4 linked regions of the Arabidopsis thaliana genome follow. The protein of the gene in region 1 purifies or fractionates together with the protein of each later gene. This does not show direct contact. Each region holds a gene or a part of one and is shown in the gene's direction. Other genes may lie near its edges. The genes, in order: CSY5, hemf2, LIN2 and AT1G14810.

What was found.
Region 2: the proteins of CSY5 (region 1) and hemf2 fractionate together in Arabidopsis thaliana (co-fractionation; one large-scale study listed by BioGRID). This does not show direct contact.
Region 3: the proteins of CSY5 (region 1) and LIN2 fractionate together in Arabidopsis thaliana (co-fractionation; one large-scale study listed by BioGRID). This does not show direct contact.
Region 4: the proteins of CSY5 (region 1) and AT1G14810 fractionate together in Arabidopsis thaliana (co-fractionation; one large-scale study listed by BioGRID). This does not show direct contact.

Annotation. Positions count from the first base shown.
Region 1 is NC_003074.8:22,189,373-22,198,231, forward strand, and holds CSY5 (citrate synthase 5), read left to right. Parts: upstream 1-3,357; 5' UTR 3,358-3,515; coding exon 3,516-3,566; intron 3,567-3,649; coding exon 3,650-3,703; intron 3,704-3,819; coding exon 3,820-3,861; intron 3,862-3,991; coding exon 3,992-4,057; intron 4,058-4,147; coding exon 4,148-4,213; intron 4,214-4,302; coding exon 4,303-4,416; intron 4,417-4,508; coding exon 4,509-4,572; intron 4,573-4,708; coding exon 4,709-4,791; intron 4,792-4,887; coding exon 4,888-4,940; intron 4,941-5,023; coding exon 5,024-5,101; intron 5,102-5,215; coding exon 5,216-5,344; intron 5,345-5,509; coding exon 5,510-5,552; intron 5,553-5,650; coding exon 5,651-5,737; intron 5,738-5,869; coding exon 5,870-5,971; intron 5,972-6,152; coding exon 6,153-6,260; intron 6,261-6,335; coding exon 6,336-6,386; intron 6,387-6,470; coding exon 6,471-6,544; intron 6,545-6,627; coding exon 6,628-6,679; intron 6,680-6,781; coding exon 6,782-6,874; 3' UTR 6,875-7,075; and 1 more. Other genes in the region: AT3G60090 (VQ motif-containing protein), read left to right, coding at 1,486-1,959; AT3G60110 (DNA-binding bromodomain-containing protein), read left to right, coding at 8,621-8,859.
Region 2 is NC_003075.7:1,409,378-1,416,237, forward strand, and holds hemf2 (Coproporphyrinogen III oxidase), read left to right. Parts: upstream 1-3,407; 5' UTR 3,408-3,436; coding exon 3,437-3,961; intron 3,962-4,049; coding exon 4,050-4,125; intron 4,126-4,204; coding exon 4,205-4,326; 3' UTR 4,327-4,382; coding exon of another isoform or gene 4,383-4,388; 3' UTR 4,389-5,147; intron 5,148-5,240; 3' UTR 5,241-5,405; downstream 5,406-6,860. Other genes in the region: AT4G03200 (catalytics), read left to right, coding at 1-9, 98-130, 442-590, 744-900, 991-1,231, 1,318-1,559, 1,652-1,915, 1,997-2,107 and 4 more; XTH9 (xyloglucan endotransglucosylase/hydrolase 9), read left to right, coding at 6,642-6,813. UniProt on the Arabidopsis thaliana protein: Key enzyme in heme biosynthesis. Catalyzes the oxidative decarboxylation of propionic acid side chains of rings A and B of coproporphyrinogen III.
Region 3 is NC_003070.9:866,883-874,238, reverse strand, and holds LIN2 (Coproporphyrinogen III oxidase), read left to right. Parts: upstream 1-2,930; 5' UTR 2,931-3,063; coding exon 3,064-3,588; intron 3,589-3,667; coding exon 3,668-3,743; intron 3,744-3,831; coding exon 3,832-3,926; intron 3,927-4,011; coding exon 4,012-4,095; intron 4,096-4,276; coding exon 4,277-4,364; intron 4,365-4,456; coding exon 4,457-4,581; intron 4,582-4,686; coding exon 4,687-4,785; intron 4,786-4,868; coding exon 4,869-4,937; 3' UTR 4,938-5,386; downstream 5,387-7,356. Other genes in the region: AT1G03495 (HXXXD-type acyl-transferase family protein), read right to left, coding at 1-803; NAC006 (NAC domain containing protein 6), read right to left, coding at 1,333-1,499, 1,557-1,794, 1,846-1,947, 2,027-2,365; NET3A (Kinase interacting (KIP1-like) family protein), read left to right, coding at 6,746-6,830, 7,298-7,356. UniProt on the Arabidopsis thaliana protein: Key enzyme in heme biosynthesis. Catalyzes the oxidative decarboxylation of propionic acid side chains of rings A and B of coproporphyrinogen III.
Region 4 is NC_003070.9:5,100,737-5,108,186, reverse strand, and holds AT1G14810 (semialdehyde dehydrogenase family protein), read left to right. Parts: upstream 1-3,336; 5' UTR 3,337-3,553; coding exon 3,554-4,114; intron 4,115-4,226; coding exon 4,227-4,313; intron 4,314-4,414; coding exon 4,415-4,459; intron 4,460-4,554; coding exon 4,555-4,650; intron 4,651-4,746; coding exon 4,747-4,848; intron 4,849-4,883; exon of another isoform or gene 4,884-5,005; coding exon of another isoform or gene 5,006-5,035; exon of another isoform or gene 5,036-5,185; coding exon 5,186-5,340; intron 5,341-5,421; coding exon 5,422-5,503; 3' UTR 5,504-5,628; coding exon of another isoform or gene 5,629-5,749; 3' UTR 5,750-5,763; downstream 5,764-7,450. Other genes in the region: DL1C (DYNAMIN-like 1C), read left to right, coding at 1-50, 129-268, 363-488; AT1G14820 (Sec14p-like phosphatidylinositol transfer family protein), read left to right, coding at 1,394-1,465, 1,766-2,024, 2,263-2,299, 2,387-2,504, 2,590-2,700, 2,789-2,950; AT1G14800 (Nucleic acid-binding, OB-fold-like protein), read right to left, coding at 5,629-5,749, 6,942-7,167, 7,333-7,450.

The DNA of each region.
Region 1 (8,859 bases):
TTACATTAGATAAATAATACGAAAAACATCTCCCTGTTAGACAACAACAAACTGAAAATAAAGGATTTGACGTAAAACAAGTTAGTTTATCATGATGTGAAAAACAAATTGATCGAGTAGAAACTCAAAGCATCCAAAGAAAGTTGGATCAACGGTTGTATAATTCAACACATGGTAGTTAGTATAGGGAGATTTGTTTCACTAGTTTTAAGGAGAGTAAGTCAACAATCCCGCGTATCAACATTAAATAATGACCAAAACAATACGATTTGTTCTTACAAAAATATCATACAGCTATTGTTAACTACAAATGTCAAATTCTTGAAATTTTATATAACCGAAACACGCTAATGTCAAACTATGATCTATTTAAATTAAATAGATAACTTTGACCTTTAAATCAGTTGATGCAACATTCAAGTAGTGAACAAAAAAAAATCGATTGATGTAACTAATTATACTTATTTTACTAGTTTGGATAAACGAAATTGTCTGACCTAGTGACCTCTCCATATGATTAGTGGCCGCTTTTTTTTTGGATAATTAATTAATCTTTTTTTTTGGGTCAAACAATTTTGGATTTTTGATCCAAGGAATCAAAACATCAAAACAAAAAGCTTTGCACGTGTACAGATGAGTCACATATCACGTCCGACGAGTATCTGTCGTGTTTATTAAGTTATTAGTATAGGGCACACGGAATTTGTTTTTCTTTTTGTCGGTTTATCTAATCTCTTAATTCCGAAACAAATGTAATTTTTTTACTATTAACGATGTTTACCATAGACAATAAATAATTACATTTCACATATGCTCCGTGAAAATTACTAAGACGAATTTCACATATGTAGTGAAAGATTGTTTTAAAATATATGTACAACTCCAAGAAACCCTATCTCCATAAGCCATGTAACAAATTATTATTATTATTATTTTGGTAAAGGACATTTTAACAAATTCGTAAATAAAACAAAGTCAAATTCACCTCCAAAGGTTAAGTCGACGACCTATATTATATAGTCAACCACATATATTAAATAAAACATCGCTCACGCCATCTACTCATATGTATGTTTTTACTTAATTATATAGCTAATTGATTATATGATATATCATCAGTTGGAAAATTAAAAACCATTTTATTCCGATAGCGTAAAAGAAACAGATCATTCTTTTTGTTTAAATTACAATTTATTTAACTCAAGTTGTTGAAAAGTGTGTAATGGAAGGCAGGTCCATAGCTATTTCGTCTTATATTTTTAACTATTTTCATTTTGTTTGTCTTTAAGAAATAGTATTTTATTAATGTTTTTTTACAAACCAACAATAAAACTGTATATTCACATTTTGTTTTTTTTGTGTATATATATAGAGACATATAATCCACAACATATGCATATCATTTCCCAAAACAATACAAGAAACCTGAAATCCAAAAAAGAAAAACCCAAAATCTTCGCTTCTTCATCTTCTTTTTACGTTTATATGGTGAGAAATTCTATGAAGGCTGAGTACGATATAGATCATCTTCCTCATCAAACCTTTTATGGTGATTATTCAAAAACTTTGGTTCCCATGAACAAGAACTCCCAAATAATAACCAAGATCAAGCCTAAGATCCGTATCATCCATATATTTGCTCCCGAGATCATCAACACCGATGTCAAGAACTTCCGCACACTCGTCCAAAGTCTAACCGGGAAACCGGAGATCACCAAAACCGGTTCTAAGAAAAAGATAACCAACACAAATTTTCCTGCGCCACCGGGTTTGCCTCAAGATTCCGGCCAAGAACATACGGCTGAACTGGACAACAGAATAATAGGGAGCCACGTGGTGAAGGAAGAATGGGGATCAAGTTCAAACACAAATACTTACTTTGATTTTGACGGTTTGATCGATCTTGATGAAGACGACAACATATTCTCAAGTCGATGGTTTGATCTTCAACAACAATAATTAGTTTGGTCACACCTTACCCTAATATGTAGGGTTTCTACTAATCGTAAGTCCTGTTGGTTTTGATGATGATTTGATCATTTATTCGATATGGAGCATAACAAGACATGGGTCAAGACAAGACCAAGGTTGAGACGATGATCATCTATATAGGTAGGAACATACATAACTTGTATATATGTACAAATGTTTGGATTTTTTGGGCTTGGGTGCCCTTTGATTTAATTTGTTAGACTGACTTAATTTACCAAGAAAGAGTGTAGTGATGAGTTTGTAGACTGATTTTGCCAAGAAAAAGTAAGTTTGTGTTTTGATCTCCGATCATGTGAAAACTCTACTTAAAAATGGTGTAACGTTGTACTCACGCGTGCGTGTGCAAGTTTTATATATAGAAAAGCGAGAATGATATTGTGATTGAATTTTTTAGATTGTTCATTTTTTTTCGTCAAATTATTTTGTTTGTTAATTCATATATAAGTCATGTTACTTACAACAAATTGTTTGATAAAACAAAAATGAATTCCATTAAACTGAATTAACGAAATACTATAATGATAAATGATTCTTACATGACTCTAAAAGAGTTTCGATTTGAATATATAAATGAATAAAGTTCTGTTTTATTGGCGATGTTCTTGATATATACCTTCAAAACTTTATGGCTAAATTACATTTTAACTTCTCAAAACGTTAGATTATGAAAGGTGGACTCACATTTCATAAACATTAAAATGATATGGTAATATGATTATAATGAGTTGTAATGGATATATGTCATATTTTTCCAATCTCATTCATTGAAATATCAGTTTATTTTTTGGATGACATAACGATCAATAGTGTCATATAATATGATATCCAATGTTTTAATATTAACTAGCTATAGCTATATCCATCATTGTTAATAGTTGTGTTACATCATTAAATAGTATTTCAAAAGAATATAAAAATTTCTGATAACTAATGGAGAATGAAGAATATCAAACCGCCCATTCGACCAAGAAATTATAATAACGAAGTTTATAACTTTTTTTTTCAATTGTGAAATGTCATTTTTACTTTATTTATTTCCAACAAAATAAAATTATGTTTTATCTAAACCCTTGGACTTTACCAAGAAGCTACTTTTTTATTTAGCAACAGCAAAAGCTACATACCATTTGTTCTTTATTTATTAATGACCGTTTTTTTAGGCATTAGAATCGTTACGGCTGCTTCGAATCTTGCGTCTCACGGACCGACGGAACTAACCAATCTCAACCGAACCCGAACATAACCTGTTCGTTTGGTTTTCTAAATGGTAATCAATTGGTTCATTATACCGGTTTGGTAAGAAGAATCCGTGTGTTTGGTTTACATATGTTGTAATTTGACGCTTGTTCATCACGTTGCAGATATATCTCAACATCTCTCAATTTTTCTCTCTACGTTGAAGAAACTTTCGAATTTCCCGTTAGTTCTTCTCCACGCTTTCTCTTTCCCTTTATCTCTTATCTGGTTAAGCCAATCTTGATTGTTTGGATTCGTAACCGATCAGTGTTGTGAGGTTTGAAAGAATGGTGTTTTTTCGCAGCGTATCAGCCATTTCAAGACTACGGTCTCGAGCAGTGAGTAGATTTAGCTTTCATCCTTTTTGTGTTTTGTTTGATGTGATACAATTTGATGATCAGATCTAATATAAGAAGCACAGGTGCAACAATCCTCACTTAGTAACTCCGTCAGATGGCTCCACTCTTCTGAATTGGTACTTTCTTAGGTTTTCATGTTCTCGTGATCATGCGGTTCAGTTTGAGAACCAAAAATTTGGAATTTTACCTTCTAGGTTTTGTGTTGATGTTGCTTAAAATGATGGTAATGCAGGACTTGAAGTCGCAGATGCAAGAGATCATTCCAGAACAACAGGTTTAGTTTCTACTTCGTTGTGATTGAGATTGTTTCTAATTTTAGGGCAGATTTCATGTAGAGATCAAGCTCTTCTCTCTGTTTTAGTTGATGTCATTTCTCATACACAAACACAACTTTCAACTTTCAGGACCGTTTGAAGAAACTGAAATCAGAACAAGGAAAGGTTCCAGTGGGGAACATCACCGTTGATATGGTACGGATTCTAATGATATTTGTGATTACACAAAGGCTTTATCTTTTAAACATACTCGTATATATAGTTTTACATGTGGTATTTGTGAAGGTACTTGGTGGAATGAGAGGGATGACTGGATTACTCTGGGAAACCTCATTGCTTGATGCAGATGAGGTATGGTTATAATTTTGATCACATAGATAATTTTCAGGTCAGATCTTGAATTAGAATTATATAACATATGATATTATCTTTTGTATCAGGGAATACGGTTTAGAGGCATGTCGATTCCTGAATGTCAGAAAATATTACCTTCAGCTGAGTCTGGAGAAGAGCCCTTGCCTGAGAGTCTTCTGTGGCTTCTATTAACTGGAAAGGTGTGATAATCTTAAAACATTTTATACATACAATAAGTTTCAACTTTATATATGAATGATCTAAAGTATAGTTTTCCCTCCTTTCGGTATAGGTGCCAACTAAAGAGCAAGCTAATGCTTTGTCAACAGAGTTGGCTCATCGTGCGGCTGTGCCAGGTTTGTAGTTCACCTCTAGGCTCTGTTTGTTTATGACCTCAGTTTCATGACTCATCAAAACTTAGCAAAATACAAGCTGATGATAATTATAAACTGGATATTATGATGTTGCAAATATAACAACTCTCCATTGCAGATTATATATACAAAGCTATAGATGCTTTGCCTTCAACAGCTCATCCAATGACTCAATTTGCTAGTGGTGTTATGGCCCTTCAGGTGGATTGCTCTGTTATGTACTATTTTTTTTTTCTATGCATTCTCTTAGAATTTGTTTATTTTCAGGAGCATCTTATCTTGTTGATTGTTATTCAGGTTCAAAGTGAGTTTCAAAAGGCGTATGAGCAGGGTGATATTTCTAAGTCAAAGTATAAACTTTCAATAGTTCTATACTTTGTTTCTTGATTGGCTTATAGTAGTAGGCATCATAGAAACTGAGGTTTCTTGTCAGGTACTGGGAACCAACCTTCGAAGATGCCCTAAACTTGATTGCTCGTGTTCCTGTTGTAGCTTCATACGTTTATCGGAGGTTAAATTTTAGGATCTTTTCCAATGCTTTTAGCTTCCTGGACTAGTTAATTTTCTTAGATTTTCCTTTCTTCAGAGTGTTATTTTTCAATGTCCATTCTAATTCACATTGCAGGATGTACAAGGATGGTAGCATCATTCCATTAGATGATTCTTTGGATTATGGTGCAAATTTTTCACACATGCTGGGATTTGATAGTCCTCAGATGAAAGAGCTCATGAGGCTTTATGTCACTATCCACAGGTTAGTCCTGGTTCTCTTCGTTTCAACATGTCTCATTAATTAGAATACATAAGCTAAAGTTTTCTTGTATATAATGATGATCTTCCTTTATTTTACCAACTCTTACCAAATTTCTATAGCATGATCAAGGTTTTTTTTTCCCTTGTCTACTGGTTTCTGTTTTAGTGATCATGAAGGTGGAAATGTTAGTGCTCACGCTGGTCACCTGGTATGTATTTGCCACATGATCTTGATGCATGATAATGTTTTGAACTTATAGACATTTCTGATGGTTCTGTTTTTGGCTAATGATGTTTCTTCACTTAGGTTGGGAGTGCACTTTCAGATCCATATCTTTCATTTGCTGCTGCATTGAATGGTTTAGCTGGGCCACTCCATGGTTTGGCTAATCAGGTATTTATATCCTTAATGAGTCTTATATTGTTCGAATCTACAAGTGTATATAACTTGAACTCTAAGATTGACTCTTAATTATAAGCTTAAACTTGGAATCTTACTCTGTTTTTTTTCGTTGTCTTGTTGTAGGAAGTTTTGCTGTGGATCAAATTAGTTGTTGAGGAATGTGGAGAAAGTATATCAAAGGAACAGCTAAAAGATTATGTCTGGAAAACGTTAAACAGTGGCAAGGTTGACAAAATTATGCTCTGCTTTGCCTTTTGAAACTATCCATATGTATTGCATGCTAATCATGACAGGCCATAACTTGAATTATTGTATAAATAATGAATAAAAGCTTCGGATTATGTTTTGATTATGGGGTTTGCCTGTGAATGTTGTCAGGAAACTTAAATAAACATTTGTCTTGCAGGTTGTTCCAGGATATGGCCATGGTGTTTTGCGTAAAACGGATCCAAGATATATATGCCAAAGAGAGTTTGCCTTGAAGCATCTACCTGATGATCCTCTTTTTCAGCTGGTAACTTTTTTTCCCCCTCAAATCTTTGGTCATGCTTTAAAATTTTACTGGCTCACAAATTATGCAAGTCTATAGGTCTCAAAACTTTATGAAGTGGTGCCTCCTATTCTAACCGAGCTGGGAAAGGTACTACTTATACTCATTCATTTCATGTGCTACCAGATTTTCTGATTTTCTCTGGTTTTATGAATCTTGAAATTGCTGTATCAGGTCAAGAACCCGTGGCCTAACGTTGATGCTCATAGCGGAGTGCTTCTGAACTACTATGGTCTAACCGAAGCAAGGTAGGAACTACTTGTGTATCGAGGCTTTGACCTTGTTTTGCTGAATCTTGGTTATTATAGAGTGACATTCCTTTCAAATATAGATACTACACGGTGCTTTTTGGCGTCTCAAGAAGTCTTGGAATCTGCTCGCAGGTACATACATACATTCATGCCATCGACAATTCGATTTTAGTACGTATCGCCATATCCTTCACAATAAAGTCAGACTAATCTTTTATTCCTTTTCTGTTTCAGCTGATATGGGACAGGGCACTTGGACTGCCACTTGAGAGACCAAAGAGTGTAAACATGGACTGGCTCGATAACTTCACGCGCTTGAACCGCTAAGTTAATCCCTGACTGATGTTGGTCAAGGTTCTCTCTTTTATCACTTCAGCCTTCTCTTCCATTTGATTGGGTAGCTTTTAGAGATAAAAAAAAAACGATTTTTCGTCGAAATTTTGTTCTACAGAGTTTTCATTTTGGTTCTTCTGCAAAAACAATAAAGTCAAACAAGTAAAGAAACAGTCTTTCTCAGATTGAGACACCATATTATTGTTCCTCAACTTTGATAGACAAATGATGACCATTGATATGTATTGATTAGTCTTTGGTGAATTATCGCATAATAAACAATACTCATGCAACCAGTCCCGCTCAAACAGAGTGTTTGAAGTGAACAGAAGCAGAGTCAAGAAATTCAAAGCCTCGGGATCAAACAGAAGCTTCCTCCTATCTTAAGAAGCTCCCTACGAAGCTTTATGATGATTCTACAAAACACATTTGCTATCTTCAGTGAACAGTAAGATGCAACGTGTTCTCTTCTAAACCTTCAGATATTTGGCTAAGTATAAGACTCTTCGTAATCACAAAAAGCCAGAAATGCGAAATTGATTTTGAGTCTTCTTCCTCACAAGTTTTCTCTAACTTTCAGAGGAGTCGCTGGATCCTGTTACCGAGAATTATTAGAAACCGAGAGCAGAGGTTTCTAGCTAGGACAGGAAATATATTATTAGAACATATCCTAGTCTTCCTTGTCATGGCCAGTCCAGTGGTGCAAGAGAAACATACAATTCCAACTCAAGTATGTGATGGACTTGACTTGCTTAAGCCGTACGGCATCCTCGGAAAACCAAAACCATGTCGGAAAAAGGAACTTGACTTCCTTGAGGCTTACGGTTTCCTGGGCTCGAACCCAACTACCCAAGTCAAGTGACAGAGAGTCTTGACATAGATTAGGCACCTCCTTACTAAAGCCAGACAACTATACAAGATTATTGGTTCAAATATTAGTCAATCCTTTCGCGTTTTCTGGCTTGACCCGTCTCGTCATGCAAGGGTTGGTCACGAGTTTCTTATTCTTCTAAAGTTTACCAAAATTAATCCCCTTTCTTTATCTTTGCGTGTGAGTGTGAATTAAAGTATTGATTTATTTAATGATGGGTTTAACTTAAAAAGTTTAAAATTGTGTCATCAAAACCCATCAAGACGTGTCTTGTAACTCTGTATCACACAAACATTCGTGTGTACTAATAAATGCAAATATTTTAGTCACACCTTTTCGTAATTATTTATTTATCATTTAAATAAGTGACAAATCTGGGTCCAATCTCCATTAGAGGCCCATTTACAACGAATTAAAGCCCATGTCTTTTTGAAGTGGATAAATTCCATGCCCAAGTTACTCACATTAACCAACATCGATATAAAAGGAACATTCTATTTCTAGTAACCCATGAGGGTCATTCCTGTAAATAGATCTGCCTTCCTTCCTCCTCTCCGTAGACGGTTGTTGCACACAAAGCGAGGTTGGTTTGACCCGAACCTACCCGACCCGTTACTATATATATAAACACAAAATGGGTAAAGCAAAGGTGAAAATCTTATACGTAGGTCTATATCATTTCCATATGAAGTGGAGATATATATATATAGCTAACGAGACCCTAAATATTTTTTTCTTTCTTATAACATATAGTTTCATTTCATATATTTAAAGGCTTCATAATACGAAACAAGGTGATAAGAAAAAAAAAAAGAAAAAAAAAAAGCAAATTAAAAATTAAATCCCTAAAAACAAACGAGCGTATTGTTATGAAGGAGGACGAAGAAGAAGAAGCAGTGATATCGAACGGCATGAACGACGACGACGATACTAACAATATTAACAACAGTTCCACTGAATTTGATAACAATCGTATCGGAGACGGAGACGATAACAGTAATCTGAATCAGATCAAACAAGTATGGGGAACGTGGGAGGAGTTGGTGTTAACATGCGCCGTTAAACGTCATGCTTTTTCCGATTGGGACTCCGTCGCTAAGGAGGTTCA
Region 2 (6,860 bases), on another chromosome or scaffold:
AGTATCAAGGTTAGCGTTTAACACGGAAAAACATTTTAAAGCACTGTCTTTGAACTGGTTACTGTTGAAACATGTTAGTAACATGTCTATGCAACAGGTTGATCGAGAAGAGCGGCCTGATGTCGACAAGGTAAACTACTTTCTGCACTCTTTGATGTCTTGAATAAATTGCTCAAAACTCAAATTTTCATTTATTTCTCTGAATGCTTAGTTTCAGAAATATCTTTTCTTTTTGGCTCAATCATGTTGTGGGTCATATTAATAGCTTCTTTTACTTTGTTGGCGAATATTTGTGTCTTCGGTAACTCTAGTAAGAGATGCAAAACCTTAGAAACCATAGTAGACTTGTGTAGAATTTGTTCTAGCTGGATCAGTGTCTACTAGAGAAAGTAGCCTTGACTATATTCATGGACTTACGATTCTTTTTACTGGCACTTTTAGGTTTATATGTCGTTCGTCCAGGCTCTGTATGGTGGAGGAGGGTGGCCACTGTCGGTATTCCTTTCACCTGATTTAAAGCCGTTGATGGGTGGAACCTACTTTCCTCCAAATGACAATTATGGACGACCAGGATTCAAAACTCTCCTTAAGTAAGTAAACCCTTTTTCTCTTATTGTACAAAAGCATTCTAGGCTTGTAATGGTGCAATAAAAAATAGAGTATGTATGTAGAAACAAACGCTCTTGGCGAAGACTATAGTTGATTCGTTTATGTTCTCCATGTTTTCTTTGGGTTTGGTTCAGGAAGGTGAAAGATGCGTGGAACAGTAAGAGGGATACTCTAGTGAAGAGTGGTACATATGCTATCGAAGAACTCTCTAAAGCTTTATCTGCAAGTACTGGAGCCGATAAATTGTCAGATGGGATTTCTCGGGAGGCTGTGAGTACATGTGCAAAACAAGTATGATTCGACTCGCGGACTCTAGAAAAATATATATGATTGATACATCAACATGAAAAGGTCTTCTAACAGTGAGTGTTTGTGTTAAAGCTTTCTCGGAGCTATGATTCGGAATTCGGTGGGTTTGGATCTGCACCAAAGTTCCCGAGGCCTGTCGAGATCCAGCTGATGCTTTATCATTACAAAAAGTTGAAGGAATCGGGGAAAACTAGTGAGGCTGATGAAGAGAAAAGTATGGTTTTATTCAGCTTGCAAGGCATGGCAAATGGAGGGATGCATGATCACATTGGAGGCGGGTTTCATAGATACAGTGTCGATGAATGTTGGCATGGTAAAACTTCAAACAGTATCCTGTAGTATCAAGGTGATGAAAAATATTTTGAGATTGACGCATTTTTTGCTATTTGTCTGGTGCAGTTCCACATTTTGAGAAAATGCTGTATGATCAAGGGCAACTAGCTAATGTGTACCTCGACGGTTTTAGCATTACCAAGGACGTTATGTATTCTTATGTGGCAAGAGACATCCTTGATTATCTTAGAAGAGACATGATTGCACCTGAAGGTGGAATATTCTCAGCTGAAGATGCCGATAGCTTTGAGTTCGAGGGGGCAAAGAGAAAGAAAGAAGGAGCTTTCTATATATGGACAAGCGATGAGGTTCTTTTCTCTGATATATGATATATTCATGAGCTGACTCTGGTTTCCCTCTGCATACTGACATTTGTTTTGCGTGTGTGTTTGGTTTCAAGATTGATGAAGTCCTCGGGGAGAATGCTGATCTTTTCAAGGAGCATTATTATGTTAAGAAATCAGGTAACTGCGATCTTTCGAGCAGGAGTGACCCGCACAATGAATTTGCTGGGAAGAACGTGCTGATCGAAAGAAATGAGACGTCTGCTATGGCATCAAAGTTTAGCCTCTCTGTTGAGAAGTATCAGGAGATATTAGGTGAATGCCGAAGAAAGCTTTTCGATGTCAGATTGAAGCGACCTAAGCCGCATCTAGATGATAAGGTAATACTCTTCTTGGAATTCTCATGTTGTCTTCTCTACTGTTTCTTCAGATTTGTTAACCATTTAAGATTTCTTTCATAGATAATCGTGTCTTGGAACGGTCTTGTTATCTCGTCTTTCGCAAGAGCTTCCAAGATTCTTAAGGCTGAGCCTGAAAGCACCAAATATTATTTCCCTGTGGTGAATAGTCAGGTAATGAATGCTACACCCTTTCCTTTAATTTCTTCTTTGACCGTTTTGTAATTAGAAGACTCATTTTTCAGCCAGAGGATTACATAGAGGTTGCAGAGAAAGCAGCTTTGTTTATCAGAGGAAATCTCTATGATGAGCAGTCTCGCAGATTACAACACAGTTACAGACAGGGGCCATCCAAAGCTCCTGCCTTCTTAGACGATTATGCTTTCTTGATCTCTGGTTTACTCGATCTTTACGAGAATGGAGGTGGGATCGAATGGCTTAAGTGGGCGATTAAACTTCAAGAAACACAGGCAAGTGAGATCTTTACTAGCTCGATTTGTTAAAGTTCTTGATTTTGGCTAAAAAAGTTAAAAACATTTTAGGATGAGTTATATCTGGACCGAGAAGGAGGAGCATACTTCAATACTGAAGGACAAGACCCATCGGTTCTTCTTCGTGTAAAAGAAGATCATGATGGTGCAGAACCTTCAGGGAACTCTGTTTCTGCTATCAATCTTGTGAGGTTAGCTTCCATAGTCGCCGGAGAAAAAGCTGAATCCTACCTCAACACGGCACATCGTCTCCTGGTAAACAAACAAACAACTAATCCCATTTGCTATTCATAGAAAGAGATTATTGAGTCTCTTTGTTGTTGTTTTTGCAGGCAGTCTTTGAGTTGAGGTTAAGAGAACTGGCGGTGGCTGTGCCATTAATGTGCTGCTCCGCAGATATGATCTCTGTTCCGTCGAGGAAACAAGTTGTATTGGTTGGTTCTAAGTCTTCCCCAGAGCTTACCAACATGCTTTCTGCAGCACATTCAGTCTATGATCCTAATAAAACGGTAAGAGCTTAAAAAATTATCCAAATTTCTAGATTCAAGATTTGTGACTTTTGGTGGTTTTACTGAGCAGGTGATTCACATAGATCCCTCTAGTTCTGATGAAATCGAGTTTTGGGAAGAGCATAACAGTAATGTAGCTGAGATGGCTAAGAAGAACAGAAACTCAGAGAAAGTGGTGGCTCTTGTTTGTCAACACTTCACTTGCAGTCCTCCTGTCTTTGACTCTTCTTCTCTCACTCGCTTGCTTTCCAAGTAAACAAAGATCATTCCATGTTTAATAGTTGCTTGTACTGTAAGGAACAGATCAACGTTGTTCTCTCTGTTACAGTCTTACAGAGTAGATAAATAAAGAAGAGAACTAAACCGAGTATGAGGTTTTTTGGTTGAACTAAACCGGAAATAACCGGGTTTGGTTTGGTTAAAAAAACAGAGCTTTGACGATTCCTTATCATCTTCTATCTTCAGCAAAAAGGTGAAAACTTGGATTCGATCGATCGCTGAAAATGGCGTCTCACTCTTCGACTCTCTTCACTTCTCCTTCTTCCTTCATTCTCTTCTCTTCTCATCGTCTCAAATCTTCTCCGAATTACTTCACTTACCACTTTCCTCGTTCCGTAAAGAGACCACATTTCGACTTGCGATGCTCAGTCTCAATCGAGAAAGAAGTTCCGGAAACAGAAAGACCTTTCACTTTCCTCAGAGTCTCCGACGGCGATCAAACTCAATCTTCTTCTTATTCGGTTAGGGCTCGTTTCGAGAAAATGATAAGAACTGCTCAAGATAAAGTCTGTGAAGCCATTGAAGCAGTCGAAGAAGGTCCTAAATTCAAGGAAGATGTTTGGTCTCGACCCGGTGGAGGTGGTGGAATCAGTCGTATTTTGCAAGACGGAAATGTATGGGAGAAAGCTGGAGTTAATGTCTCTGTGATTTATGGTGTTATGCCTCCTGAAGCTTATAGAGCTGCTAAAGCTGCCACGTCTGAGCAAAAACCTGGTCCGATTCCGTTCTTTGCCGCTGGAACCAGCTCGGTGAGTTCTCTCTCTCTCTCTCTATCAGTCGACATTGCTGTTGATATGGTCTCTGAGTTCTTTGATTGAGCTTGATCCTACATTCTAGGTTTTGCATCCTCAGAACCCTTTTGCTCCGACTCTGCATTTCAATTACCGCTATTTCGAGACCGATGCTCCAAAGGGTAAGACCTTAATCCTCTTTGAGAAGTGTAAAGTTCCAATTTTTTGGTTGGATGAAGCATTTGATTTCATCACTTGTAGATGTTCCTGGAGCTCCGAGGCAATGGTGGTTCGGTGGTGGGACTGACTTCACACCTGCTTACATCTTTGAAGAAGACGTCAAGCACTTTCATTCGGTCGTTAAACCTGATCCATTGTTCTGAAAGTTTGAAGCTTTGTGATTATGGAGATGCTGATTGAAATATCTTTCTTTGTGTAGGTTTAAAAGCAAGCCTGCGATAAATTTGATCCGTCGTTCTACCCTTGGTTTAAGAAATGGTGTGATGACTACTTTTACATTAAGGTCTGCAGTTCCTTTAACGCTATTCTGATTGTTTGGTGAGATCTTAGCACTTTGTGGAACTAAAAGACCTTAGTTTTAGAGTCATGTATGTGCAAGAATAGATTTAGAGCCTCAAGGTTTTGTTTAGGTTGATACAGTGATAAGTTGTCGCCTAGGATTTGAAAACACTAAAAACTTTACGGTCTTGCCTGCAGCACCGTGATGAGAGGCGAGGGCTTGGAGGGATATTTTTTGATGATTTGAATGACTATGATCAAGAGATGCTTCTGTCATTCGCCACTGGTAGTGACCAAGATATAACTTGTGACATTTTGTTTTAAGAAACTTCCTAGTTGACTTATTTGAATACTGAGATGAATTTTGCAGAATGTGCAAGCTCAGTGATACCAGCTTCTATACCCATAGTAGAGAAACGTAAAGACACACCATTTAACGAGCAACACAAGGCATGGCAACAGCTGCGAAGGGGCAGATATGTTGAATTCAACTTCGTAATTGGATACTACTAGCTTTGTTTTTCTTTCTGTATAAATATCTCTTGAAACCTCGTCTCATGTTTTGTTGCTGATGGTAAAAATAAAGGTGTATGACCGCGGAACAACATTTGGTCTGAAGACTGGAGGACGAATAGAGAGTATCCTTGTCTCTCTTCCGCTATCTGCGAGATGAGAATATGACCATGTAAAGTTTCTTGATTCAAGAAACTAAATCTTGTTTCATCTTAGCTAATGAAACTTAACTACTGATGGTGTTTGTCTCTTGTTGCGGATGCAGAAACCTGAAGAAGGAACTGAGGAATGGAAACTATTAGATGCTTGTATCAATCCAAAAGAGTGGCTTTAGTTAATTAATTGTGGTTATTTCCCCAATTAGCTCTTTTATTAGTTTTGTCTTTAAAAGCCTTAAAAGAGTAAAGAGTCTAATGAAAAGTGAGTGAGATAAAGAAATTGTAATTTGGCGTCATCTCATCATGAGTCACTGACAAACAAAGATCATGATGGTTGATGATGGAGTATATAGTACCAATCGTGATGATGATGATAAAAGTAATTAACTTTTAATTTTTTTTACTGACACAGTAAAAATAAGAGCCGTTGGCTCAAATAGCCGAGCCTCTCGGTGCACGCACGCATGCCACTTGCTCGGTAACTGTTCACTAGACAGAACACAACAACACTCAAATAGAGTGATAACATTGAATCTGATGATTTGGTTTAGTATAAAAATCGTTTCCAAGTTTCAACGAGTGGGACTTGTGTTAGGTTAAACAATTTCGGATTAAGTAAACGTCACTGTCTCATTTGTCTTGATACAAGAAACGCCCGTGATATTTTTTCTTCGATGTCGTCCAATGGGGACAAAGAAACAATTTAGTCCCCGGATATACACACACACACACAAATAATACATGGGTGTTGTTATTATGGCTTACCTTACACAACACAACTTGCCAATGTTTTTAAATTTACTAAAAACCAAAGCCAGAAGATATTTTATTGCCACAAATTGACGTCACACCTGCCCATATCTAATCCATGTCTGCAACACAAAAAACAAAAAATTGAATTCCCCCAAAAAGTGAGGAGAGAGATGTAAAGACTGTGTACCAATTCAATATCTTTTTGAGCAGAGTAAAAAAAAAAGTTTAAAAATTTGAGCTTCTGACACAAAAGGAGCCAAATGTAATAGCTGGATCCAATCCAATGCAATGAAAACATCTTAGCTGTAAAATGGTCCAATCTCTCTCTTTTCTTTCTACATTATTACTTCCACAGAATCAATTTATCTCTCGAAAAGCAATAAAGTCTCTATATTTGTGCTCAAAGATAGACAGAGAAGCATAAATACTTGTCCTCTGTGTAGTACAAAAGTGGAGCCCCACTGAGTGATGCCCTCACAGTAACGGCTACATTTTTCTTTTATCTCTCTGTCTCTCTCTTCTTTTGAGTGATTTTTTATGAAGATGGGTTCTTTTGTCCACTTATTACTGTCCTGAATCACACGTCGAATCCTACGTGGCATCTCTCTCCATTGTATGCCAGCTCACTCTCACTCACTCACTCACCTCCCGCCTTTATAAAGCCTTACCTCTCTCTCTTGTCTCCTTCATTGAGTCAAGTGCTCGAGACTGTAGAGTGAAGTTTGATTTATTTAGAGAGATAAGTTAAAAAAAAAATGGTCGGTATGGATTTGTTCAAATGTGTAATGATGATAATGGTGTTGGTTGTCTCTTGTGGTGAAGCTGTTTCTGGAGCTAAGTTCGATGAGCTTTATCGGTCAAGCTGGGCTATGGATCATTGTGTCAACGAAGGCGAAGTCACAAAACTCAAGCTTGACAATTACTCTGGTAAGTAGATGAAGACAAACCCATCTCTGTTTAGTTTCCTCTGTTTT
Region 3 (7,356 bases), on another chromosome or scaffold:
TCTGTAACCCAACTCTTGAGATTGTCTATCTGCTTCCGGCTCAATGTAAAAGTGGCTCTGACCATGTTCTCAGGCGTAACATGTGAACTGTGTTTTGCAGAGTTTTGGCTCCAAAACCGCTCCAAATGTCCTGCGGCTACCTCTCCTGGGTCCTTGATTATGTTTCTGCAGCTGTGAATAGGCAGAGAGGGTAGAAGAACCGTGGCCGGATCTTTGCCGCTGGATTTGGTCAATGACATCCAATACTTCATGAAATGACTGAAGGTGACTCCATCTGCTACAACATGTGTAGCTGAGTTGCCTATACAGATTCCAGCTCCAGGGAAGATGGTGACTTGCATTGCCATTATTGGTCGCATCTGAATTCCTTCCGGAGAGACGTGAGGAGGAGGTAACTTGGGCAAGACGCCATGCAACACACTGATATCTTTAGGGGAATCAGACTTCAGTTGGTCGAAGTCGGTTTCAGTAGACTCTGCTACGGTGAAAACAAGAGAGTCTTCGCCAGCGTTGTAGTGTAAATATGGAGGGTCGGGACGAGGCGGGATAATCAGTTTACCGGCGTAAGGGAAGAAATGTTGGAGAGTGATGGAGAGGGAATGTTTGAGGTTGGGTACAAAGTCTTGGAGGAAAGATTCAGTTGAGTTTTGGTAAGAGAAGAAGAAGAGAGAATCGGCGAGTGGGAGAGAGAGCCAGGGGGCATCGAAGAAGGTGAGAGGAAGAGTGGTGGATGCAACGGTGCCCTTTGGGGGAGAGATGTGACAGGTCTCGATGATGTTATAAGGTTGAAGTTGAGCCGCCATGGTGTGATTAAGTTTTGAGGAAATGAGTTCATATTTGTCTTTTTATAAAAGGAAAATGAAACCACCGGGCAAGTGAAGAAGTTGATTCTGTTACGTACTTTGGTCAAAAAAACGCTCTCATGTGCCCCAACCTCCACAACCACCATTTTTTTTGGTTTTCAAAACATTTGTTGGTCCTTTATGTTTGCTTATTTATCAATGGAACTCACAAATCACAATTAGTATTTTCGAATTTTATAATCTTTGAAAACCAAAAACATTACTTTTAAGTACACAATTGAAATTCATAGCTAAATAGTTAACATTACTGCTGCAACTCTATATTAATTGTAGAGTTATGGAAAAACAAAAGTACAAACTAAAATAAAGTTCGTTAAACTAGAATTTTACCCCGGAAAATCCACTATTTTTATGATATCTCCTTTACCGGAGTTACACAAATACACTAACCATATGTCTATAGTAATCTTTGTCACATATCAACTCAACCCACTAAAATATAATTCTATCCTCTCTGGTTTGTGTCGTATCATTTATCAACCCTAGTTAGATCAATAATCTCATAATTCCCCAATGCGAGGGCATCATTAGGATTGTTTATCAGTACCATCACATCATCTTTTTCTTGCTCTTGAGTAACGTCACAATCTTCTTGACGTTGTTGTTGTTGTTGTTGTTGTTGTTGTTGTTGAGTAACTTCGCGAGATTATTCTCCATCTAGCATCATCGTCTCAAGGTCATCATTAGCAAAACCGGTTAATTCAGCCTCTTCTGGCTGCTCACGATCTTCATGTCCCTCTAGCATCGTCTCAAGGCTATCAGCAAAACCGGTTAAATCAGCATCTTCTGGCTGCTCATGATCTTCTTGTCCCTCTAGCATCGTCTCAAGGCTATCAGCAAAACCGGTTAAATCAGCCTCTTCTTTCTGCTCACGGTCTTCTTGTCCCTCTAGCATCATCTCAAGCTGATCAGCAAAACCGGTTAAAGCATCCTCTTCTTACACTACTTGGTTCCGTAAGATGTTGTTGGTGTTCTCCGCCACCTGAGTCTGATGAGCCTGATGGTTAACGAGTCCAAACTCGTTGACGTTCGCCTCTTTCTTGTATCGGATCCGACACAAGACAACCTTTTGGAGGTCATCACTCTAGTGAAGAGAATACTCCATCTTCTGTCAATCGGTCTTGACAAGCTTTCCATGCACTCTCCTGTGGTACGTGAAAGACTGCTCGTAACCCATCACCCTTTTGCATGTGTCCGTCCTTGATCTCTTTTTTCCCATCGTTGCTTCTCCAAGTGCCGCCTTCGCTTCCTCCTCTTGCGGCTACCTTCCGGTGTACGCTTAATATCTTGCCACCTCGTTCAGTAAGCGGAACAAAGTAGTACCACTCGTTGTTATTGAACAAAGGATTGTTTACGTGAGGAAGAAGCCAAGGGTAGTCTTGGTGGATGTCCATAGTTGTTATGAAACTGCTCTGATTTCTCTCCACCTTGTTTCGAAGATAAAGCCTCACCAACCCTAGATCCGTCGGACAAAACCGTGATCCAACCGGAAGAATCTTCATATCGATCGTATAGATTCGAAGAAGAACTAGCTAAGGTACCTATATAATTGCTAAGGTTAAAAGTGCTCTTTCGTCTCTTGTGTAATACTGCTCTGTGAAGCAGGGTTTTCTTGAATTCCTCGCAGGTCAAGCGGCTGAACTCTCTATATGATCATGAATATATAGACAACGTGATGGGCCCAACCGGATTTTCTTTTGTCAGCGATTAACTATTTTTTGGAAAGAATAAGACGGTTGTAATTACATCTATTTGGTTATTTGAAATAATAATTAGATAGGATTCGAATCTATAATACACTTTTGTTTTGTTTATCACAGATTCTAACGATAGATAAAGATATATTACATGACCATGATTTATCCACATCAAAATAGCATAGTGCCGTAAACCGGCTAATCGTTTTGGGCCTAATTTGGGCAATTAAGCCCGTTAAGAAGGATAAGAGCCTATTGTGTATCAATATCTTCGGTTCGACCAAATTAAACCGCAATTTTAATTTCGTGTCTGGTTTGGTTTCGGCTAAATAATTCAGAAGTGGTTTAGTCTGAGAAGACTGGAACTGTGTTTTCTTTTACCTTGAGCTGTTAAATAAAAAGGAAGAGCGGTCAAAATCAGTGGACGACGAAGACTTCTTATCATTTAATATCTCTCCATCATCATCTTCTTCTTCAGCATCAAATCCAAATTCGGATCAAACATGGCTTCTCACTCGTCGACTCTCCTCTCTTCTCCTACTTTCGCTCCTTTCTCCTCTCATCGTCTTCATTATTCTCCCAATCCCTCTACTCTCAGATTCTCCCGTCCAATCAGAAATAAACCTAATCTCGCCTTGCGATGTTCAGTCTCAATTGAGAAAGAAGTTCCCGAAACTGAACGACCCTTTACTTTCCTTAGGGATTCTGATGACGTCACTCCATCTTCTTCTTCTTCTTCCGTCAGGGCTCGTTTCGAGACTATGATTAGGGCTGCTCAAGACAGTGTTTGTGATGCAATTGAAGCTATAGAAGGCGGTCCTAAGTTTAAAGAAGATGTTTGGTCTCGACCTGGTGGTGGCGGTGGAATCAGTCGTGTGTTGCAGGACGGGAATGTCTTTGAGAAAGCTGGTGTTAATGTCTCTGTGGTTTATGGTGTTATGCCTCCTGAAGCTTATAGAGCTGCAAAGGGCTCAGCTTCTGATCAGAAACCTGGTCCTGTTCCGTTCTTCGCTGCTGGAGTCAGCTCGGTAATGAATCTCTCCCTTCAATTTTACGATTCTTGGAGGTTCTCATGTTTTATCATTACGGATTTCTGTGTGATTCTAGGTTTTGCATCCCAAGAACCCTTTTGCCCCAACCCTGCATTTCAATTATCGCTATTTCGAGACAGATGCTCCAAAGGGTAAAAAAGCTAAAGTCTCAGTGAGATTGTAAAGTTGTTGTCTTTTGTTTGGACAACAGTCTTAAGTTTTTAATTTTCAACGGCGCAGATGTTCCTGGAGCTCCAAGGCAATGGTGGTTTGGTGGTGGCACTGATTTCACTCCTGCTTACATCTTTGAAGAAGATGTCAAGCATTTCCATTCGGTACTGAGCCTTATTCCTTGTTCTAAAGATATGAGCTTTGTGATCATGGAGTTGCTTTTATATAAACTGCTCTTTGTTGTTGTAGATTCAAAAGCAAGCCTGTGACAAATTTGACCCTTCCTTCTATCCCCGATTCAAGAAGTGGTGTGATGACTACTTTTACATCAAGGTAAGTTTTGTGAGATCCTGAAGCATTTTCTGGAACTGAGGGCCTTATTCTTTGAGTTGTGTTTAGGGATGTTATAGTCAAATCTGAGAGGGTAGAAACTGCTTAGAGAGACGTTCAGAAGCCTATTGTTAGTGTGAGGGCTTTGAAAACTTTTCTTAGAAATCTTTGATTTTGCTTGCAGCACCGTGATGAGAGACGAGGACTTGGAGGGATATTTTTTGATGATCTTAATGACTATGATCAGGAAATGCTTCTGTCATTTGCCACTGGTAAGGGACTGATTGTCCTCAATCTACAACAAACGATTTATTTTAATTGGTCTAGTTTCTTGGTAGACTAATTTAGCAATTGGTGTTTACAGAATGCGCAAACTCAGTGGTGCCGGCTTATATACCTATAGTAGAGAAAAGGAAAGACATGGAATTTACAGAGCAGCACAAGGCATGGCAACAGTTGCGACGAGGGCGATATGTCGAATTCAACTTGGTACTATGACCAAAACATTAGTCTTTTTCTCTGTTCTCACTCTCATCTCTCCAATCTTTCGTTATGAACCTTGTTCACTAATGTATTTGTAATGATGGATGGAAGGTATATGATCGGGGAACGACATTTGGTCTGAAGACAGGAGGACGAATAGAGAGCATTCTCGTCTCTCTTCCGCTTTCAGCAAGATGGGAATATGACCATGTAAGTTCTTTCCTCATTTGTGAAGAAACTTGGTCTAAATTCAATTGAATATGGCAATGTAGTAATGGTGTTTGTGAGTGCAGAAACCGGAAGAGGGGACCGAAGAGTGGAAGCTATTGGATGCTTGCATCAACCCGAAGGAGTGGATCTAGCCTGTGTTTCCCATTGTTGTGAGAAGAGTGAGTTTATTTCCATTGTTTCATGTAAGTTTTGAGCAGCTTTAGAGGATTAGATAACTGGAGAGATGGAGAAAGAGAGTGTGTAAGGTCAGGTCAAAATCTAGTCTTGTGATGTGCATGTTAACATCATCTCCTTTCTCTCTTTGCGATGGCAATGAAGACAAACTAAGAGCAGTGTTGTTAAAAGTCAAAACTTACCAATGCAAACAGTTGGTTTCTTGCAAGTTTTGAGCAGCTTTAGAGGATTAGATTACTGAAAAGAAAGTTATACTCTAGCCTTGTGATGTGCATGTTAACATGCGTCTGTTACGCTGTCGTTTCGTTTCTTTCTTTTGCCAATGGCAACGAAGACAACTTGTGCATTCAACTTTTTCACAAGTGACATGCTTATCTACGGACTCTAATCCAAATCCATATCCTCCTTAAGAACCCAAAACAAAAACTTATTGCTCAAAGTGTTGAAATCTGAGCTTTTCCAAAGAGAAGAAACAGTGATCAGCCCAGCCTAATGTAAGCCATTAGGCCTCTTAGTATTTTTTTTTTTTTTTTTTTTTGTCATCAAGCCTCTTAGTGTTAGCTGTCATAATTTCCTTTTTTTTTCATCTCTCTCGTTATTACGCCCTGAATCATTTAATAATCCCCAAATAAAGCAATAAATTTCTATTTTTTGTTTGTTTGTACAGAATTCTATGCAAATCAGTGTATTTTTTTTATGTAGAAATAGTGCTTAACGCCTGTAAGTGTTAATCAATACTTTAATCTATAAATAGGGTACAAATTTAAAATTATTCAAAGACAATAACATCCTTAAAAAGAAAAAAAATAGATTCACTTGTCTTATTGTAAAAAGAGCTAATAATGAAACAAAGCCAAATGAAGAACTAAATATGAGGTTCATCAATTTTTTATATTTACTTTAATATTTTATTTTTCCCGACTACTTTAATGTTTTTTGTCTTATTCATTACACACTAATAAGCCATGGAAAGTTGCGGCAAAGAGTTTTATCGACCGTTGCACAAACTCCTTTTGCGTGTTACGCTCACCCCGGCCCACATGCCTCGTGGGGCCCATTTAGATAACTTTCATATCTATCATCTGAACATAACTCCCAAACTACCCCTGTTCATAGCTCCATATATGATAAATCTTTGACTACACTGTTATAAGGTTATAAACATTTAAATAAATTAAAGAACAACTCTGATATAGAGAGGAAATCATTGAATAGTATTTTACTTGACTTTGATTAAGGAAATTTTCTATAAAAAATAGTTATTTAAGTAATAAATAATTCGTTTGAAGAACCAAATCTGGCAGTCCAAAAATTCATATTAAGGGGTGGAAACGTCATTTAAGGACATAAACAGTGAAGTTCTGCCATGTCATCCGCCGCTTAGCCTCCAGGGGTATATCCGTAAATTACAAACTCTGCTGTGTATTACTTAAATACCATACGTGGCAATATGCGATTGGTTAAGACAGTTAATGTCAATGATAAAAGACTCTGAACTCTCAAGTCCGAAGACAGAAGAATACTAAACTCCTTAAAATTGCTCTCAAGGCGGAGAAGAAGAAGAAGAAGAAGAAGAAGAAGAAACGGCGCCGTTTATTTATTGTCTATCTTGGTTTTCCACGCACCGAGGTTGGTAATTTTCGGAGTCTCTGCTTTTTGTGTTACTGAAGATGAAACTAATCTAATAATTCAAAGAGTGAGTCTTTGATTTGTATTTTGCTGTTTTGTGTTTTTTGAGTGGAGAAAGCTTTAAGAAGAGTGAAAGATGGTGATGGACTCATCAAAATGGTGGTGGATTGGAAATCACAACACTACTAATTTCTCTCCTTGGCTTCATTCTACTCTCTCTGGTAAAAATTTCTCTTTTTGGGTTCCAAGAATTTTTATATATTTACTTATGATTTGATTCTTCTTTCGAATTCGAAGTGTTGATTTTGGTATATGTGTGTCTATTGATTTCAAAGGTAAGCTATTGCGTTTTTGCTTGATGAATTTTAGTCACAAAGCTTTGTTGTTGTTGGAGAAGATGCTCTTCTCTTGGTATCTTCTCTTGGTATCTTATCGGTATTTAGTTTCATCAAGGTTTGACACGTTTATTTTGGTTCTTTTAATGTCTTAATCCAAGTGTTGATATTGGTGTATGGGTCTTTGGTCCTCTCAAAGGTCTTTGGTTATCAAGATACTTGTTGTAATTGGGTTATAATAGTCGTAGATGATTCTCTTTTGGTATCTTATCTTTCTGAGACTAAGTAATGATACACAATTATTTAACTTCATTGAGGTTTTGACATGGTGAACTTTGATTGTGTTATTGAAGAATTGGATGAAAAGACAAAGGAAATGCTGAGAGTGATTGATGAGGATGCTGATTCTTTT
Region 4 (7,450 bases), on another chromosome or scaffold:
CCCAGCACCAAACGCAGACCCCTACTCCGATAATCACTTCAGAAAGATCGGTACGTGTCTCTCTCGCCTCCCTTTACTTAGAAATGATACATTATCAAGTCTTTGTTTGTTGACTTTGGATAATTCAGGATCCAACGTGAGTGCATACATAAACATGGTCTGCGACACATTGAGAAACTCTCTTCCCAAAGCTGTCGTTTACTGCCAAGTTAGAGAAGCTAAGAGATCGCTTCTCAACTTCTTCTACGCTCAAGTTGGCAGGAAAGAGGTAAACTATATTATTACCCTTTGGATTATTTTGTTACCTTGTAGAAAATGCCATGCCCAAATCGAGAATAAATTTAAGAAAAATGATGGTGCAGAAGGAGAAGCTGGGTGCTATGTTGGACGAAGACCCACAGCTGATGGAACGAAGAGGAACCTTAGCTAAACGGCTAGAGCTTTACAAACAAGCTAGAGACGACATCGATGCAGTGGCTTGGAAGTAAGGGGGTTTGCTAAGACATATTCTTTATATTGTTAATTTCTTTGTTCGTGTGGGCACACTGCATTATAATAGATATGTTTGGAGTTCTAACTTCCAGTCTACACAAACATACACGCGACTACTCATGTTTTCTTGGGTCGCTAATTTCTATCACAACTTTCCCACTTTTTTTTGGTGTGTATCTTCGATTCTTGAATACTGGTTTTTAGAACAGTTAAGACATATTTTGAAGTCGCACTCTTTACATTAGACAAAAAGGAAGCTAATCTTTGATTTTTATTCAATTGGTCTCCACTTGTGCCATTACTGTATTTGGATCCAGTTCAAGTTTAAAAACAAATAGATGACAAAGAAGCTAATCTTTCTTGAAAATTTAATGTACATCTCATGTAGATAGAACAACTTATTAACCTAAAGGACTTTTCTTCTGTCACAAACAATAAAAATCGTTAGAACTGAATTTCCAATGCTCAATTAAGAACAAGCAGCTAAATGTATAACCGTTAACAAAGCCTGTTTCACATGGTTGATCAGAAAAATGATTAAAAGAACTTTAAGTAAGCCTTAAGATTCGGGATTTAGGAGTTAAAAAGCAATGTAATCATCACAGCTGTTTTAAATCGTCAAAGTAGTAGAAACAAAAGTCAAAGAGAGAGCTTCAACTTCCAGCTGCCCATTAATTGCAGCGAGTTGGGGAAAGGCTTATTGAGTTATTTCTATCCACTTACCGTAGAGACAAGTACCCAATACTTTGTCTGTTTCTTCTTCCTGTGGCTTCTGGGTCTTTGTCAACATCAAAGCTCTTTACTTTTTCAACTTACTTTATCGTGCGTCTGTACGGACCACAAAAGGCTCTCTCTTTATTTCTCTGTGAGATTTTTTTAGGATCTGAGAGAGCCAAAGATCATGGAGGAAAGCCAAGAACTTGCCTTGACCCAGTTGAGAAAATCGGTCGAGAAACTCTCTTCTTCTACTGAGGTAATCTAATTCGACGCTTTAGTTTCATTACAGTTTACAAAGCTTGCATCTTTTGGCCGTTTCATGAGTTTCACTGACAATGTCTCGTTAGAAAATGAGAAATATCTGTCATTTGATTTTGATGGGTTTTATATGGGCTACACTGTTAAAACTCTGTCTCCATTCTCGTCATAGTGGTTTGTCTGATTAGGTTTGAGCCTCCCATCAGAAACCCTAACAGTAGAGACAGTTTAGTAAAAGTGAATCCATAATCAGAAAATCTCATCAATGGTTTTTGTTGTTGTTGTTTCCTCTGAAAAGGGATATGACAAACCAACATTGATGAGGTTCCTGGTGGCAAGATCAATGGACCCAGTCAAGGCAGCAAAGATGTTTGTAGATTGGCAAAAATGGAGAGCCTCCATGGTTCCTCCAACTGGATTCATCCCTGAGTCAGAAGTGCAGGATGAATTGGAATTCAGAAAGGTCTGTCTTCAGGGTCCGACCAAATCCGGACACCCATTGGTGCTTGTCATAACCTCTAAGCATTTTGCTTCTAAGGATCCAGCTAACTTCAAGAGTAATCACCTCTCACTTGCTTCTGACCTTTACTTTCGTTGGAAATAATCTGTCCCTTGACTTTCAGTGACTTTTGTATTCATAGAACTGATCAGCTTCTTTCCTGGTTCTCTAATTATTGAGTAGTTTCATTTGACTTCAAATGAATGAAGTTTTTTGAGTCCATCTATGTGTTTTCCTTGAGTTGATTCTTGCGATAATTATCTATGAACTAATCTTTTATCTGTTTGATGTTGCAGAGTTTGTTGTTTATGCGCTAGACAAAACAATCGCAAGGTGTTTACACATTATTGAAACCAAAACACTTCAATAATCTTCCGGTTAGTTGGTTGTGAGACAAGCTTTTTGGTTTTTATGTTTCAGTGGCAACAATGGCAAAGAAGTTGGAGGTGAGAAATTAGTAGCCGTTATTGATCTGGCAAACATTACATACAAGAACCTTGATGCTCGTGGATTGATCACTGGCTTTCAATTCTTACAAGTAAGCATCTCCCTTCTTCCTGAAACAATATAGTTATCACACAAAAAGAAGTCCTGTCTATTAAATTTGGAAAATGTTTCTCTAGTCTTACTACCCGGAACGCCTTGCAAAATGCTACATTTTGCATATGCCCGGATTCTTCGTGACCGTTTGGAAATTCGTCTGCCGTTTTCTAGAGAAAGCAACTCAGGAAAAGGTTTGATCTTTAATCTCCTCTTGATGTATCTATCTCTAATGGTTCTTGAGCAACGAATCACATAAATTATGATTTTGCTGTTGCATAGATTGTGATAGTTACGGATGGAGAAGAACAGAGAAAATTCGAGGAGGAGATCGGAGCAGATGCTTTACCGGAAGAGTACGGTGGCCGAGCTAAGCTCACAGCAATCCAAGATGTTCTTCTTCCTCAGGCTGCTCCAGTAACTCTAACAAACAATAATGTTTAGCTCTTTATTTTTGGAAGCATTAACCTGAATATTTGTAATGGTCAGAACATAACTAGTGGTACATCTCTAAATTTCCAAAAGAAGCAATGAAAACATGAGAAAGTAATGCGAATATATTCAATCTGGTGACTGAGTGCTCGCTCTTGCTTATCTTTTCTTATTCACATCATAAGTAAGCTGTAAAGCAGGATTGATCAACAGACCAGACTAACTTCTAGAAACTTAATGTCCTCTTGTTGTACGTGTAAGATTCCAAAGTTAGCTATAGATGTCTTTGAGCTAAAAACCAGAATCACGAGCTCTTAAATATGATCCCTAAGCCTTGTTATATGACAAAAGACTTTTCAACAACTTAATATTTCCAAAAGAAGAAATGATGAAACACATGAGAAAGTTGTGTGAATATACTCAATCTGGTGAATGAGCAGTTTCAAACATCATGCTGTTTCTGTATCTTAAATTAAACAATCTTGCTGTTTTGAATTTTGAAGATGTTGGTCAATTCACTAACACACTTTAAAGTCCCAAGCTTTTTTCTATCAGCCGCCTCCAAAATCTCTCTATCTCTCTGTCTCTCACTTCTTCTTCCTCACGGCGGCGACAATGGCGACGTTCACTCATCAAACCCCACAAACCCATTTCCTCTCTCGCCTTCCTCTCAGAGCTAAACCTAGACACTTCTCCGCAAGAGTCAAAATGTCTCTCCAAGAATCTGCGCCTTCACTCGCCGTCGTTGGCGTTACCGGAGCCGTCGGACAAGAATTCCTCTCCGTCTTATCCGATCGAGACTTCCCTTATAGCTCCATCAAGATGCTTGCATCGAAACGCTCCGCAGGGAAGCGTGTTGCCTTCGATGGCCATGAATACACGGTGGAGGAGCTCACGGCGGATAGCTTCAACGGTGTAGACATAGCTTTGTTCAGTGCTGGTGGATCCATAAGCAAAGAGTTTGGTCCTCTGGCGGCGGAGAAAGGAACCATTGTTGTTGATAATAGCTCGGCTTTTAGAATGGTTGATGGAGTTCCGCTTGTGATTCCTGAAGTGAATCCAGAAGCAATGAAAGGGATCAAAGTTGGAATGGGCAAAGGGGCTTTGATTGCAAACCCTAATTGCTCCACCATTATCTGTTTGATGGCTGTTACGCCTCTTCATCATCACGCAAAGGTTCGATTTTTATTCTGAAATCTGCTTAGTCCAAAATTTTGAAGGGTAGTTAGAGAATCAATGGAAGCTTTAGACTTTAGTGCTCTGAATAATGTTTGATTGGCTATAATAGGTGAAGAGAATGGTGGTTAGTACATATCAAGCAGCTAGTGGTGCTGGTGCTGCAGCTATGGAAGAGCTTGTTCAGCAGACTCGTGAGGTTTTGTTTCTATTTCAGCCTTCTTTGATTGAATTGTTTAATGATTGTGCTGAGTTGTGATTCTGCTTCTTCGTCTTCTTTGCATTGGTGTGTTTTCTTAGGTTTTAGAGGGTAAACCTCCGACTTGTAACATCTTCGGGCAGCAGGTGAGTGCTTAATTTGCTTATAGTTTGTATTTCGAATGTGCTGATTATGAAATCCCTTTTTGAGTAATGTGATGGTTTTGTATGTTGTTCTGCAGTATGCATTTAACTTGTTTTCACATAATGCTCCTATTCTTGACAACGGTTACAACGAAGAGGAAATGAAACTTGTGAAGGAGACAAGGAAGATCTGGGTGAGTGGTTACTTAAGTGCTATTTTGTGTTCATTTCACTTTGATCTTTTGTTCAAAAATTTTAGATATCTCACACCAATTTCTTGCCCTTCACAGAATGACACAGAAGTAAAAGTAACAGCAACGTGTATACGTGTTCCAGTTATGCGTGCTCATGCAGAGAGTGTGAATCTTCAGTTTGAGAATCCTCTTGATGAGGTAATAACACACGTCGAACCCGATTTCTACTGATTCTGTGTTGTTGTGTTACCTTATGATTTCACTCACTGATATGACAATTTGAATCATAATTTGAAGTTTTAAACCACATTCTATGGTTTTAATTTAACTCAAGCCATTGAAAAATGTGGAGCAGCATGTAATCAGCATAAGTAGGCTTGGATAGTTCTTGATGCACTTGCAGAGTTAAACCCTGAAGTTGTTCTTTGGACTTGCTCTGGTAGCATGTATTGTGATTCTTGTTGCGCAATTAAAAGAATCTTATGATCAAGTTCTTATTCAGGTTATAACGGTTTTTCTTACTGTATCATAACAGAACACAGCAAGGGAGATACTGAAGAAAGCACCTGGAGTTTATATAATAGATGACCGTGCTTCAAATACTTTCCCTACTCCACTCGATGTCTCTAACAAAGACGATGTAGCGGTTGGTAGGATAAGGCGAGACGTGTCTCAAGATGGCAATTTCGGGTAAAGTCTCACTCTTTTCTACTGAATTTGAAGCAAATGTCTTTGCGATATGCCTAAAAGGATATAACTTTGTGAATTCAGGCTGGACATATTCGTTTGTGGAGACCAAATACGCAAAGGAGCTGCTCTGAATGCTGTTCAGATCGCTGAGATGCTTCTCTGAATTTGAACCCGCTCTCACTTTGCTTCTTATGAAATTCTTGACAAAGAGATCACTGTATTATTAGATTTGAGCCAAGAATTTGTCTCATTTTTTGTTCTGTGAGTTTTCTATTTTGACCAATTTTGTTACTTTGATTCATAAAGTTGTCTCTTAAATCTGAACTCATCATGCACACGCTTGAACCTCTTGGCAATTTTCCGGTTCGAATCTGTACCGACTTGGTTGATCTCACCGAAGACAACCGGGCTCCACAATTATTTGACACACTGAAGACTGAACCAGTGGGGGCCCACTTTATTGATAGTTATAGCAAATATTTACTTGTTTAGTGGATATTATCAAATCCTAAAATCACTCCTTCGTTACTAAGACTAGGGAGGAGACCCGCGTTGTTTTTGGTTTTGTTTTTGGTTTTGTTAGTATGCACTAACCACTTCGATTTTTTTTACTGATCTTTGATTAAAAAGGGAATATCTTTGTTATTTGCTAATCTTATCTTTTGATTTCTACATTTTTGTAATCTATGTATAGTTTTACATTTTTTTTTCATGTTGTTACCGGTTATATGCTAGAATTTATAGGATAATAGACCAAACTTACTATCTTGTAAGAATATTTTTTAGAGTTATATATATCTAAGCAATGCATTTGTTACATTGGTCTTGTTTTTATATATTTTATTTTAAATTAAAAATACAATGGAAATCTCTCTCTCTCTCGCATTAAGCGGTTGCTGCAGAGGATAGCGAAGAACAGAGACTAACGACGAAGTTATTTTACACATCGTTGCCATTGTTAATTTTGGCCCAATATGAACCCGCCCATTTGTTTTTTCTCTTTGTGTCTCTGTTAAAATCTTAGAAACTACTCTTTGGTTTGGGGAAGATTTCACTTTTCAACGTCTCTTCGCGAATTAGCCAAAAAGAGTTGGATTATAACAATATTAACATTGAAAGTACGATATGCTTAGATAATTAATTAAAAGTTTGATTTTATTGTAAATATAAATTTCCTTATAACAGCAAGGAATGACACACATTAAAGCAAAAGAAATAAGAGTAATAACTTTTACTTTGTTTTGAGTCTTTGTGATAGTTCACTGCCACAAACATTATAGGGAATTTTTTAAAAACAGTTTCCAACTCTCTAGTTGTTTTGTTTAAGTTATACCATAAAAATAAACTTAAACATTTGTTTGTAGAAAAAACATTTCTCACATGTGTTGTCCAAATTTCTTGGATGGCACACGTCGGGGGGTTTCATGTTGCGAAGTGATATCATGTAGCATCTTTTTCTCGCCACTCTAATCCCATTTAGTGAAGTTTTGATTTGTTTCCAACACGTTTCAGCCATGGTGGTGTCTTTAGCCCATTCAAGTTGGCTCATATAGGTTTTTCCCTCTTCAGTCCTTCCTCTACATAATAATAGCATGACATACATGTAGATTGCTTCTTTCTGGCCTCCGTTAGCTGCTATGCCAATATGGTGGAGACCAACGTCACAATGATCAAGGTTAAAGTACCATATTATACCTTTTATGTAGTGAGCATCCGGGTTGTTGTTGGCAAGACATTTCTTCATAATAAGATGGTGTTTGCGGCATGATAACGGTTTCTTCACCAACGGAGCAAGATTAAGGGTTTTGAGCACGCGTTCATCGTTTGCTGATGCACCTAGTATAGGAGATGATGATTTTATAGTAATTTAAAGGAAGATCTATAGGAGGTTTTTGCTTTTCTCCAGTTACAATTTCGATTTGAGATATTAAAAGTATGAATTTAATTGCAAGTAGTAGAATTTTGTAGGAATTAAGCCATGTATTTAAGTACCTTTTAGTGAATAACTGTTGATGTTTGAGCTTCTGGGGAAGAAAAATACGGAAAGCTCCATGGGGCATGTTGGGGGATGGATTGCACCCCTCATTTTAGCTCGGCCCAAATCAAGAAT